Linked DNA regions of Caenorhabditis elegans. Changing the gene in region 1 together with any one later gene gives a genetic interaction. Each region holds a gene or a part of one and is shown on either strand. Other genes may lie near its edges.

Evidence for each region.
Region 2: of mif-2 (region 1) and efl-1, changing one enhances a phenotype caused by changing the other (phenotypic enhancement), as found in Caenorhabditis elegans (one large-scale study listed by BioGRID).

What each region holds. Positions count from the first base shown.
Region 1 is NC_003283.11:11,976,261-11,980,389, reverse strand, and holds mif-2 (MIF-like protein mif-2), read left to right. Parts: upstream 1-1,985; coding exon 1,986-2,039; intron 2,040-2,134; coding exon 2,135-2,203; intron 2,204-2,912; coding exon 2,913-2,975; intron 2,976-3,018; coding exon 3,019-3,078; intron 3,079-3,241; coding exon 3,242-3,340; intron 3,341-3,432; coding exon 3,433-3,513; downstream 3,514-4,129. Other genes in the region: snr-4 (putative small nuclear ribonucleoprotein Sm D2), read left to right, coding at 694-701, 752-925, 1,529-1,703; cpr-1 (Gut-specific cysteine proteinase), read right to left, coding at 3,693-4,015, 4,062-4,129.
Region 2 is NC_003283.11:16,959,635-16,967,692, reverse strand, and holds the start of efl-1 (E2F/DP family winged-helix DNA-binding domain-containing protein), read left to right. Parts: upstream 1-2,017; 5' UTR 2,018-2,019; coding exon 2,020-2,167; intron 2,168-2,213; coding exon 2,214-2,344; intron 2,345-2,391; coding exon 2,392-2,501; intron 2,502-3,159; coding exon 3,160-3,310; intron 3,311-4,098; coding exon 4,099-4,242; intron 4,243-7,295; coding exon 7,296-7,530; intron 7,531-8,058. Other genes in the region: fbxa-90 (F-box domain-containing protein), read right to left, coding at 22-661, 709-779.

The DNA.
Region 1 (4,129 bases):
TTAATGGTACTAATATTGTGCACACTTTACCTAGGAATATATTTTTCATCTCTACAATGTTGACTAGCGCCCTGAATGCTCCAAGGATACTGTTTTCCAACTAAATGTTCAACTGTTCAGTATTTATATTCTGCCTCCTAGAGGCGTTCAAAAATTGCGTATGCCACCCATGTTTCAGGGGACATCGCGGGCAATTGGGAAAAGTTTTCAACCAGCAATAAACGCACCTCGGCAAAGCCTCATTGGTCACGTTATCGCCCCAGCGCAAAGCTAAATTCAGCAGCTCACTCAGCTGATCCTATAAAACACAGCAACCGACAAATCGCGGCTTTCGCGCACAATGGTGCTTTCTGCATTCTGTATTCTTCGGAATGCGGCGCGTGTGCGTTGCGGTCGTCTTTTTCGAATTGCAATCGCTCGCGGTTTATCGGAGTCTCTCTGTTTTCTTGAAACGAATCTCTTCCCTTCGATTAAAACTGCATAAAAACTAATAAAAATCTCAAAATTGATTTTTCTTCTACTTTCTTAAGATCTGTAAAGTTTCGTTCCTCCGAATTCCTCTTTATGATTATTTAGAAAACCTCGCCCAATACCTTATTCTTCACTCTTATCGGTATTTTTTACATGAAATTATCATTGATTCTCAGCTAACCAATTTAATTTCAGGGACTTCTATCAAAATCAACTTTGATCATGTCGGCGTGAGTTCACATTGTTTTCATTGACCAGTAGTTTAAATTTATTTTTACAGCCAAGCCAAACCCCGTTCAGAGATGACTGCTGAAGAACTCGCTGCAAAGGAGGACGAGGAATTCAATGTCGGACCACTCTCCATCCTCACCAACTCAGTCAAAAACAATCATCAAGTTCTCATCAATTGCAGAAACAACAAGAAGCTTCTCGGAAGAGTTAAGGCTTTTGACAGGTTAGGTTTCTTAGAAATACTATTAAGTAAAAACTCACAAGTATTTGTCGGTAGTAAACTTCAGACAACATTTTTTAAAGAAAAGTGTTTCAAAAATAATATTTGAATCATCGATAGTGAACGTATTTTGGTTGTCGTCTCGATGCTGTAGCAAAATATCATTTACTATATATAATGCATTTATTCCGTTTGTCCATAGTTTGTAGTCTGTGAAGGTTTGGCTTAGTGTAGGGATATAGTCGGGGTACTGTAGTGGTACAATAGTGGTACGGTAGGAGTACTGTATGATTATGGTAGTTTCAGAAAAATTAGTTTTCAGCCCCAGAAGTCGGGGCAGCGCCAGAGGTGCGGTCCACGGCTGGTAGATTTAATAAAACGGCACGATCCTCCTGTGCTGTAACAAATTGTCGTGGCATCAAATTATTCAAACACGTATTGCTACGATTTCCAAAGGGAAAACACAAATCTTACACTAATATAAGTACTTTCTCATTTGCCGTAACTTTCGTGTCCCGCAAAGCATGCAAAATTCCAAGAGGAGTTTTCTACTATTGTTCGTATAAAAATAATTGGAACGTATAGTCTAATTCTTTACTTTTTCAGACATTGCAACATGGTCCTCGAAAATGTGAAGGAAATGTGGACTGAAGTGCCAAAGACTGGAAAGGGAAAGAAGAAGGCAAAGTCTGTCGCCAAAGATCGTTTCATCTCAAAAATGTTCCTCCGCGGAGACTCCGTCATTCTCGTCGTCAAAAACCCACTGGCACAAGCTGAATAATTCACCTTCAGAAAATCTCCCAATCAGTACGGTTTTCTCGTATTTGTTATGACACCTTACAATTTTCGAAATTTTCACTCTTGTTCTTCCCCCTCCCGTTCACCCTGTTGTTTCGTTTCAATGATCATCATTTTCCACTTTTTATTTATTGATAAACGTTCCTATTTAATACCACAGTCGTGTTTTTTTCTGAAGTTGAATCCGTATCCTCGCGGCAGATGATTTTTGTAGTTCTGCGTGATTGTTGCTTGAACTTGAAACCGGTTTTTCGATTTTTCGTCGATGTTGACTGTCAGTGCTATCAGAATATCATCGTCTTTCGTCTTCAAAGTTCAGGTTACTATTGGTCGTTATTTTTTGAATAAAAACGCTATATTCCACGTTTTTCATGAAATGTGATTTATTGCCATATTCCAAAAAATCAATTTCAGAAACGAAAAATGCCGATGGTCAGAGTTGCGACGAATCTACCAAATGAGAAGGTTCCTGTTGATTTTGAGGTTTGTGTTTTAATCAAACATTTTCTAAACGACTCAACAAACACTGAACAGTCTAGAGAAAATTTGTAGAAAAAAACAAGTATTTTAAGAGAAACAAATATGGTTCCCGGTCTCGACACGACGAGTTTTTTCGTTGCGAGAAAGTGTGCGCCTTTAAAGATTACTGTAATTTTATACTCGAGTTTCTGCAGAATTCTTAAAGATTTTATATAGTTTTTCTCACAATAAGTTTTTCAATGAAAATATTTTTAACGAAAAACTATGAACAATTGATGAAAATTCCTCAGCAAGGGAAGTTTAAAATTACAGTACTCTTTAAAGGTGCACACCTTTTTTTTTGCATTTTACAAGCACCTGTCGTCTCGAAACCAGGTACAGTATTTTGGGACCACAACTTGGCAAAACAGACATGTTTTTGAAAAATAATATTAAGACAGTTCAGACAAATTTTTGAAATATTTTATATTCAGTTTTCGCATCCACAATTTCGGAAGTTGACCAAAAAGTGGATTTTCTACGAATTTTTGATATTTTAATAATTTTCCGTTTTTCTAGAGTATTGTACGGTTACAAACATGAACCATTGTTCCAAATTCTCAAAAGTCCCGAACTTTTCGTAGCGCCAATTTACCAAAGAAAACTTTCAAAAATCTGAACAAATGCCAACTTCACATAGTATTCCTTTTAAAATGTGAATTTTCAATTTAAGATTCGTCTCACCGATCTTCTTGCTCGATCAATGGGAAAACCAAGAGAGAGAATTGCTGTCGAGGTATATTAGTAATCTTTAGTAATTATTAACTTTAAAGTTTCAGATAGCCGCCGGTGCTCGTCTAGTTCATGGGGCCACTCATGATCCTGTGACCGTAATTTCGGTAAGTGACTTAGGAACACTTTCCAAAAGTAACACCTTGGTAAACCAAAACCTTTAAAACTACATTTAAGTTCCTTGTTACACTTAGAAAGGAAATTAAAACTTTATGAAACCATCCTTTTTCTGGCAGAAGTTCAAAATTCTCGCAATAATAAATTCTTTAGATCAAATCAATCGGAGCAGTGTCTGCTGAAGACAATATTCGCAATACGGCAGCCATCACTGAGTTTTGTGGAAAGGAATTGGGTCTTCCAAAAGATAAGGTAAGTGTAGTTTATGTCAAACATTTAAGTCACAAATATTTCGTTATGTTTTATTAATCAAACAATGGATTATTGATATTTCAAAATTTCAGGTTGTTATCACATTCCACGACTTACCACCAGCTACGGTAGGGTTCAACGGTACAACTGTCGCCGAAGCAAATAAGAAATAATTTTTGATGTCAGTTGTTCATAATGTGACTAGATTAATTTTGATTTCATGCACTTTTGTAATTGCTCTTCGTAAATTTTAATAAAGATATATATATTTCAGAAGATTTAAGAACAAATTTAAATTATGAACATTTTTATTTGGCAGATGGTAATTACAAAAATTGTGTACATAATGCATTTAGACCTTGGCCTTTCCGGCGACAACTGCTGATTCAATTCCGCATTGATCATCTCCACGGTAGATCTTGAAGAAACCGCTCTCTCCCCAGTTAACTCCCCATGAGTTGGCAACAAGCCAGTATGGAGATCCGCTCTCAGTTCCCCATCCGATGATCTTAATGGCGTGTCCTCCGAGGTACTTTCCGGCGGTGTGCTTGTAAACTCCGCTCTTGTATTTGTAGAAGTCTTCGTAAACAGAGAATGCAGCCTCAACTGGTCCATTAGCGTAGATTTCAGCTTGGATGGATGCAGCATTCTTTGGAACAGCGTAGGCAGAGACTCCTGAAATAATATAATTATTCCACAATTCTATGTAATTTTTACAAACCGAAGTGCTTGTCCTTGGCGTAGGCAGTTGAATATCCAGATTGGCAGCTCATTGAGCAAGATGGAGTC
Region 2 (8,058 bases), 5.0 Mb from region 1:
AAAATCCAGATTTCGACTCACATCTCTAATCTCCAATGCATCATCCGTCGTCAGATCCTTCACATTTATGTCAAATTGAGTGAAATTTACAATATGCTTAATAGGGATCAGAAACTTGGACCGGTTGTTCAGAATTTTAGCTTTCTTCCATTGCTCGAGTTCCACAACGCCATTTATCGGCTCATAGTACTTTAGGAATTGAGCTTGGAGAGTTATTTCTTCGAGAATTTCAGGTTCGAACTTCTGAAGTATTTCAGAAACTTCACGGGCGGTGAAGTCATCGATAATCACTTTTTTCGCTTTTAACTTGAAGTTTAAGGATTCGAAAAATGACTCAATTGCCTTTAAAATGATTTTTCTTTCATTAAAATTGTTGGTAGCCAGCTGTATCAGAAATTCATCAACTTCAGGGTACTTCACCAAGCTCTTCAAGTCCTCCATCAACATTTCAACGTGGTTCCTTCCAGCATGTACTCGGCCACTGTTCTTATATTCAACTTGGCAGGCTCCATCAACTTGCTCATAGGTAACCCCGCCGTAGTTCTCATCGAGAATTAGTCTTGAAAATTTTTCATGAAAATTTACATGAACCGTCTTCAGATTTGGACCGAGGTTATCGATTATTGCTCGGAAGCTGTAGGACACTTTTCGAGCGATTAGCCTGAATTTTCAATGCTTTTTTTCTTTAAAAAAACAAGGAAAACTCACCTTTCCAAAGCTTCCAGATTATTCAAAATTTGTTCAATAAGTTCGATTGGCAAGTCGGAGAGTGATGACATTTTGAGAAATTTGAAGAAAAAATGAAGTGATTTCAACACAGTTCTCTGTGACTAGTGGCCTAGTTGGACAGCGCAGAGACGCAGGCGCACCAGCTGACTAGAGAGTATGAGAATCAGACACCGAAGGTGTTTCAGAACTGGCCGCCAACTTGAACCTGTAAAATGTAGGCACAGCTTGAACCCTTGGCTTTAAATAAAATGTAGTCTTAGTTTGAAACCATGTGTATTCAGACAGGCTTTTCACTGTCTTACTTCCAGAAATTTCAGGAGTCGCATACGAAATTTACGTAGCAGTCATCGAAATTTTAAACAGAAAGCTAAGACCTGCGGCTAAGCCTGAGACTAATTTTAGGCCAAATTTTTGAGCCTAAGCCTAACTATTAGTTAGACCTTCTTATGTATTTGGCGATGGCAAAACGGTAATATCGAAGATTTTCAATTATTTTTGCCATTTTTCAAACAGTTCATGTGTATTCGTATTAAAACATTGTAGGGGTCGAAACATGCGACATTTCTTTAAATTTCCTCAAAAGCTCGTATTCAAAATTTTGGTAAATTGCCAAAAATTTTTTTTTGAAGTTTTATTATGATATTTGATCTTTTTTACACTATTGGAGTAGTTTTTAACACTTTCCCCACTGACGCTACTCCACCTTTAATAACGTGGTGACGTCACAATCTTTTTGTAGATCAAACCGGCATGGGACAGCCTGACACCACGTGAAAATACCAAAGGAGGCGAAATTTTACAAATTCAATTTTTGTTAAAACTGATTTGAGCCCACAAAAACAAAAAAGTGATGGCTAAAAAAAAGTGATGGTTAATTTCACGACACTACTTGAATAACCCCATTTTATCTGAATTTACGGTTTTGCCGCCAAATACCTAACGGGGCCCAATTTTTTTGGGTTCTAACTTTTTTTGTCTTCAAATTCAAATTTCCCCTTATTATACATTCAAAAAACCACGTACTTCTTTCATTTTTATCTTCTCATTCAAGCGAAACTTTTTCCCGCGGAAATTTGAGTGCAAGCGCGCTCCACTGCACCTTTCTCGTCTGCGTCTCCACCTTTCCCATTGTCTCTAATCCGTGACGAAACCTCATCATTTCTCGCATTTTGGAGGGGAATTCAAATTGATTTCTCTTGGTTTTTCTCGTTTTTTCTTGATTTTTCTCGTTTTTCAGCTCATTTTTAACCAAAAAATCGGATTTTTCAACTAAAATTCCGCATTTCAGCCATGGAAGACTCGTACAACGACATGGAAGACCCCGGCTTCCGCCAATTATCTGACATGGAGCTTCAAAAAGCGCTGGAAATGACCAAACAGAGCTCGATAAAGAACAATTTGATGCTCGGGCTCGACAATGAGCTTGACTTTGATTTTGGTACAATATTTGTCGAATTTTAAGCCGAAAACCCCGAAATTTCCAGATTTCGACGAGGATGAGGACCTGGATCAACCACAAATGGGCACACGAGCCGATAAATCGTTGGGATTGTTGGCGAAACGATTTATTCGAATGATTCAGTACTCACCGTATGGAAGATGCGATTTGAACACTGTATTTTTGAAAAAAATCGTGAATTTCGCAATTTTCGTATTTTTTAGGCCGCCGAGGCGCTCAATGTCCGGCAAAAGCGACGAATCTACGATATTACGAATGTTCTCGAAGGAATTGGTCTTATTGAGAAAAGAAGCAAGAATATGATACAGTGGAAGTAAGAAAGTCGAATTTTCAGCAGGAAAAATGACGTTTTTCAATGAATCGGCGGAAAATCGTATTTTAACAAGAAAAATGACATGTTTAGAAAAAAAATCAATTTTGTGTCAAAATATTGATTTTTCAGCTCAAAAAGCTTAAAATGCAAGAAATTTCGGAAAATTTCAGATTTTTACGTGAAAAATCGCATTTTCAGCCAAAAAATGGCGCTTTCCGGCAAAATGGATGAAAATCACATTTTTTGGAATATAGCTCCTATTTCCTGTAAAAATCGATAAATTCGATTTCTAAAACACTAATTTTTGAGATTTTTCACCGAAACAAATCGAATTTTCATATGAAAATTTCATTTTTGACACAAAATCACTTTTTAAAGTTAAATTTTCAATTCAAAGCTCAATTTTGTGGCAAAATCCTTATTTTTCAGCTTAAAAACATGAAAATTGCTGAAAATTTCAGATTTTTACGTGGAAAATCGGGTTTTCAGCCAGAAAACACAAGAAAAGGTCATTTTTAACACAAAATTACATTTTCAAAGCCAATTTTTCTATAATAGCCTCAATTTCGCTCCAATTTCGGTGAAAATCTCTATTTTCCGGCTCAAAAACCGCTTTTTTGCACATTTTTCCCCGGAAAACTCAATTTTTTGTTTTCAGAGGCGGTGATTTTATGCTAAACGTGAAGGAAGGGAAACGACAATCGGCCACAACAGAAGAAGAAGATCGAATGGAACAATTAAAAGCTGAAATTGAGCAATTAAATAAGGAAGAAGAGCTCATTGAGCAACGTCAAAGATGGCTTCAGCAGGTAGCGAATTTCCAGAAAATTTGATGAAAAATTTGCTGAAAATCGATGAAAATTGAGCCAAATTTACGCAAAAATTGGCTGAAAAATGACCAAAAATTTCAGAAAAATTCAGCCGAAAATTGAGAATTATTTGCTGAAAGTCGCTAAAAATTTGATCAAAATTGAGCAAAAACTGGCTAATTTTGATAGAAAATTGAGCAAAAATCACTGGAAATAAGGCTGGAAATTGGAAAAAATTTAACCAAAAAGTCCTGAAAAAAATAGAAAAATTCAGTCGAAAATTCTGGAAAAATATGGCTGAACATCATTAAAAATTGAGCCGAAATTTAGAAATAATGGGGCTGAAAATCGCTGAAAAAAGCTGAAAATTTGACTTAACTTCCTGAAAAATTAGTCTGAAAATCGTTGAAAACTGCTGAAATTTTGCCAAAATTTCCTCCAATTTTCTGAAAAAAATATGGATGAAATTTCGAGAAAATCAAGATAAAAATGGTGCCAAAATGATGAAAATTTTGTAAAATAAATTCTGGAAATTTCGGCTAAAAATTGCTTGAAATTGGTCCAAAACTGCTGAAATTTGGCAGAAAATTTCTTAAAAATTCAGTCAAAACTTCTGGAAAATTCGCTGAAAAATGGTCAAAAATTCATTAAAATTGCGGACAATTTTTCTGAAAATTTATAGGAAATTTCAGGCAATCTGAGCCAAATTTTCCACAATTTTTTTTTGAAATTTTTGGTCAATTTTTCGACAGTTTTAAGCCAAAACCGCTGAAATTCTCAAATTTCAGAGCCTCCGAAACATGACAGAATCCGTGGAGAACAACAAGCTCAGCTATGTGCTCCGTTCACAGCTCGCCGAGATTCAAGGCTCAGATCTTACGATTGGAATTCAAACGAGAGTCGGCACACAAGTTCGGCTCAGTGATCCGGAGGTAGAGAAGAAAATGACGCGAAAATTGGAATTTTCAATGAAAATTTAATGGAAAAACCTGGAAAATTGTGGAAAATTCATATTTTTCTTGGAAAAAACGGGTACAAAACCCGATTTTAACTGAAAAAAACGCTGATTTTTGCTCAAAATTAATTCTTTTTAAGAATTTTCGATGAGAAAAATGAATTTTTTAATTTAAAATACATAAAAAACTAGAAGACTGTCCAAAAACCGAAATTTCTGTCAAAAAAGTGTAAAAACTTCTCCTCGTGGAGTACACGAGCTGCGTAAATCTACGCAATATTTTTCTGTGTTTTTTGTATGCAAATTTGTAAAAAAAATATCAAAAAAATAAATTTTTGGCTGAAAAACGGTGAAACATAATTTTAAACAATATTTAAATACAAATTATTTGTTCTAAAAATTTTTTAAAAATTCTTAAATTTCCCTGATTTTTAGCAAAAATAACGAAAATTCTTCAAAAAATTTGATTTTCTGCTAAAAAAAGTGTAAAAGCCTCCCCTCGGGGAGTACACGGGCTGCGTAAATCTACACAAATAATTTTTTTCAGCTAAAAATTGATAAAACGAAAAAATTAAATAAAAATGTTAAAAAAAAAGAAGAAACTTTTTCAATTTTTAGAAAAAAAAAAGAAAAAAAAAGCTCCTTTTTCCAAAAAAAAGCAGAATTTTTTTTTGTAAATTTCCCAAAATTTGGCGAGTTTTCATTTTTTTTTTGTTGTAAATTTGACGATTTTCGTAAAACTGTCGTAAAATACAAAAAAATAGACTTTTTTTCGAAATATTTTGTTAAAAATCAGAAAAAAAATTTTTTTTAATTGATTTTAAAATTCACAGAATTTTTTTCGATAAATTTCAGAAAATTCCTGAAAAAACTGAAAAAGATTTTCAAAAAAAAAAACGCAATTTTCGCTCTATTTGGCTCTAAAAAACAAGACAATTAAACAAAAATCAGAATAAAAATTTTAAAAAAATTGTTTATAAAATTTTTGATAAATTTTAGAAAATTTCGGAAAAATCTTCTTTTTTTTCAAAAAAAAAATCGAACATTTTCAATTTTTATTTTCCCCCATTTTTTCCAATGAAATTAAAATTGCAGCAAGTCGATTTTTGATCGAAAAAAAGCATTATTTCTATGTGAAATGCATAAAAACCTATTACGGGAACAATAAATCATGAGAATGCGTACTTGGTGCATTTTATTTGACGCGCGATATCTCTTAGCGAAAACTACATACAGTAAATGCTTAAATATCTATTGTTATTTGAGTTCTTACTGTAGTTTTCGCTAAGAGATATCGCGCGTCAAATAAAATGCACCAAGTACGCATTCTCATGATATATTGTTCCCGTAATAGAAGACTGCCCAAAAACTGAATCTTCTGTCAAAAAAGTGTAAAAGCTTGTCCTCGGGGACTACGAGCTGCGTAAATCTACACAATATTTTCCTGTTTTTTTTCTCAATTTTCGCTTTTTTTTTTGTATGCAAATTTGTAAAAAATATCAACAAAAATTTTTTTTTGGCTGAAGAACGACGAAAAATAATTTTAAACAATTTACAAATCATTTGTTCTAAAAAATTTTTTTTAAATCACACTTGTTTCTTAAATTTCCCTGATTTTTAGCAAAAATAACGAACATTCTTCAAAAAATTTGATTTTCTGCTGAAAAAGTGTAAAAGCCTCTCCTCGGGGAGTACACGAGCTGCGTAAATCTACACAAATAATTTTTTTTTTGGATAAAAAATTGATAAAACGAAAAAATTAAATAAAAACGTAAAAAAAAGAAGAAACATTTTCAATTTTTAGAAAAAAAAAAAAGGAAAAAAATGCTCTTTTTTTCCAAAAAAAAAGCAGAATTTTTTTGTAAATTTCCCAAAATTTGGCGAGTTTTCATTTTTTTTTTGTTGTAAATTTGACGATTTTCGTAAAACTGTCGTAAAATACAAAAAAATAGACTTTTTTTCAAAATATTTTGTTAAAAACACAAAATTTTGTAAAAAATCCGAACAAAAATTATTAAAAAATTCATAGAATTTTTTTTGATAAATTTCAAAAAATTCCTGAAAAAACTGAAAAAGATTTTCAAAAAAAAACGCAATTTTCGCTCTATTTGGCTCTAAAAAACAAGACAAATTAAAAAATATCAGAATAAAAATTTTTAAAAAAATTGTTTATAAAATTTTTGATAAATTTTAGAAAATTCCGGAAAAATCTTCTTTTTTTTCAAAAAAAAATTTTCAATTTTTATTTTCCCCCATTTTTTCCAATGAAATTTTAAAAAAATTGCAGAAAGTCGATTTTTGATCGAAAAAAAGCATTATTTCTATGTGAAATGCATAAAAACCTAGAAAACTGTCCAAAAACCGAAATTTCTGCCAAAAAAACTAAAAACTTCTCTTCGGGGACTACACAAGCTGCGTAAATCTACACAAAAAATTTTTGTGTTTTTTTTTTCTCAGTTTTCGCTTTTTTTGTATGCAAATTTGTAAAAAAGTATTTAAAAAATAAATTTTTGGCTGAAAAACGACGAAAAATAAATTCTAAAAATTTACAAATTATTTGTTCTAAAAGATTTTGAAAAAATTACACTTGTTTCTTAAATTCAGCAAAAGCAGAATTTTTTTGTAAATTTCGCACAATTTGGCGGTTTTTTAATGGAAATTTGACGATTTTCATAAAATTGTCGTAAAATACAAAAAAAATAGTTTTTTTTCAAAATATTTTGTTAAAAATCAGAAAAAAAATTTTTTTTAATTGATTTTAAAATTCACAGAATTTTTTTTCGATAAATTTCAGAAAATTCCTGAAAAAACTGAAAAAGATTTTCAAAAAAAAAAACGCAATTTTCGCTCTATTTGGCTCTAAAAAACAAGACAATTAAAAAAAAATCAGAATAAAAATTTTAAAAAAATTGTTTATAAAATTTTTGATAAATTTTAGAAAATTCCGGAAAAAATTTTTTTTTTCAACAAAAAATCGAAAATTTTCAATTTTTATTTTTTCCCCATTTTTTCCAATAAAAAAAATTGCAGCAAGTCGAGATACACGGTGGACCATCTTGGTGTTACCTGAAAGATCCCTCTGGACCCCTCCGAGCCGCCATCGTTTCCAACCATGAGCTACATGATTTTGTACAGAGAGAACGAGCAAAACGGCCTGGTGAAGAGCACGTTGACGCTGATGCTCCAGATGAAATGATGGATGATTCAAGATATCGGAATCGGCGGACGATCAATGATGATGAAATGTTTGGTTTTGAGCAGAAAGGTGCTGCTGAATTGCTGGAAATTTTGCTTATTTTTTAAAGCAGAATTTTGAGAAAAAATGGATTTTTTTCACTGAAAGTAGCTAAAAAATAGCTTAAAAATGAAGAATTTTGAAAAAAAAAATTGGAAAAATCATCATTTTTTCCAAGAAAACACCAAAAAAACTGGACTTTTATGGACGTTTTTTCGAAGCTAAAAAATCCAAAAAATTTACTTTTTCTGATAAAAAACATTTTCCTTTTGTTTTCTGCACCGTTTTCTAGAGTTTTTCGAATCGAAAAATAATTCTCAGATTTTTTCACATGAAAATTTGAAATTTAAGCGAAAAAAACATCAAAACTGTTTTTTAACAAAAAAAATTGAAAAAAAAAACCGGAAAACCTAGAAATCCGCCAAAAAATTTGAGAAAATTTTCACAAAAAAAAGCATAAACTGAATTACATAAAATTCTTTTAAAAATTACAGAAAAACTGGGAAAATTTGGGAAAATTACCTCTTCTTTTTAATTTTATTTTTCGCATTTTATGAA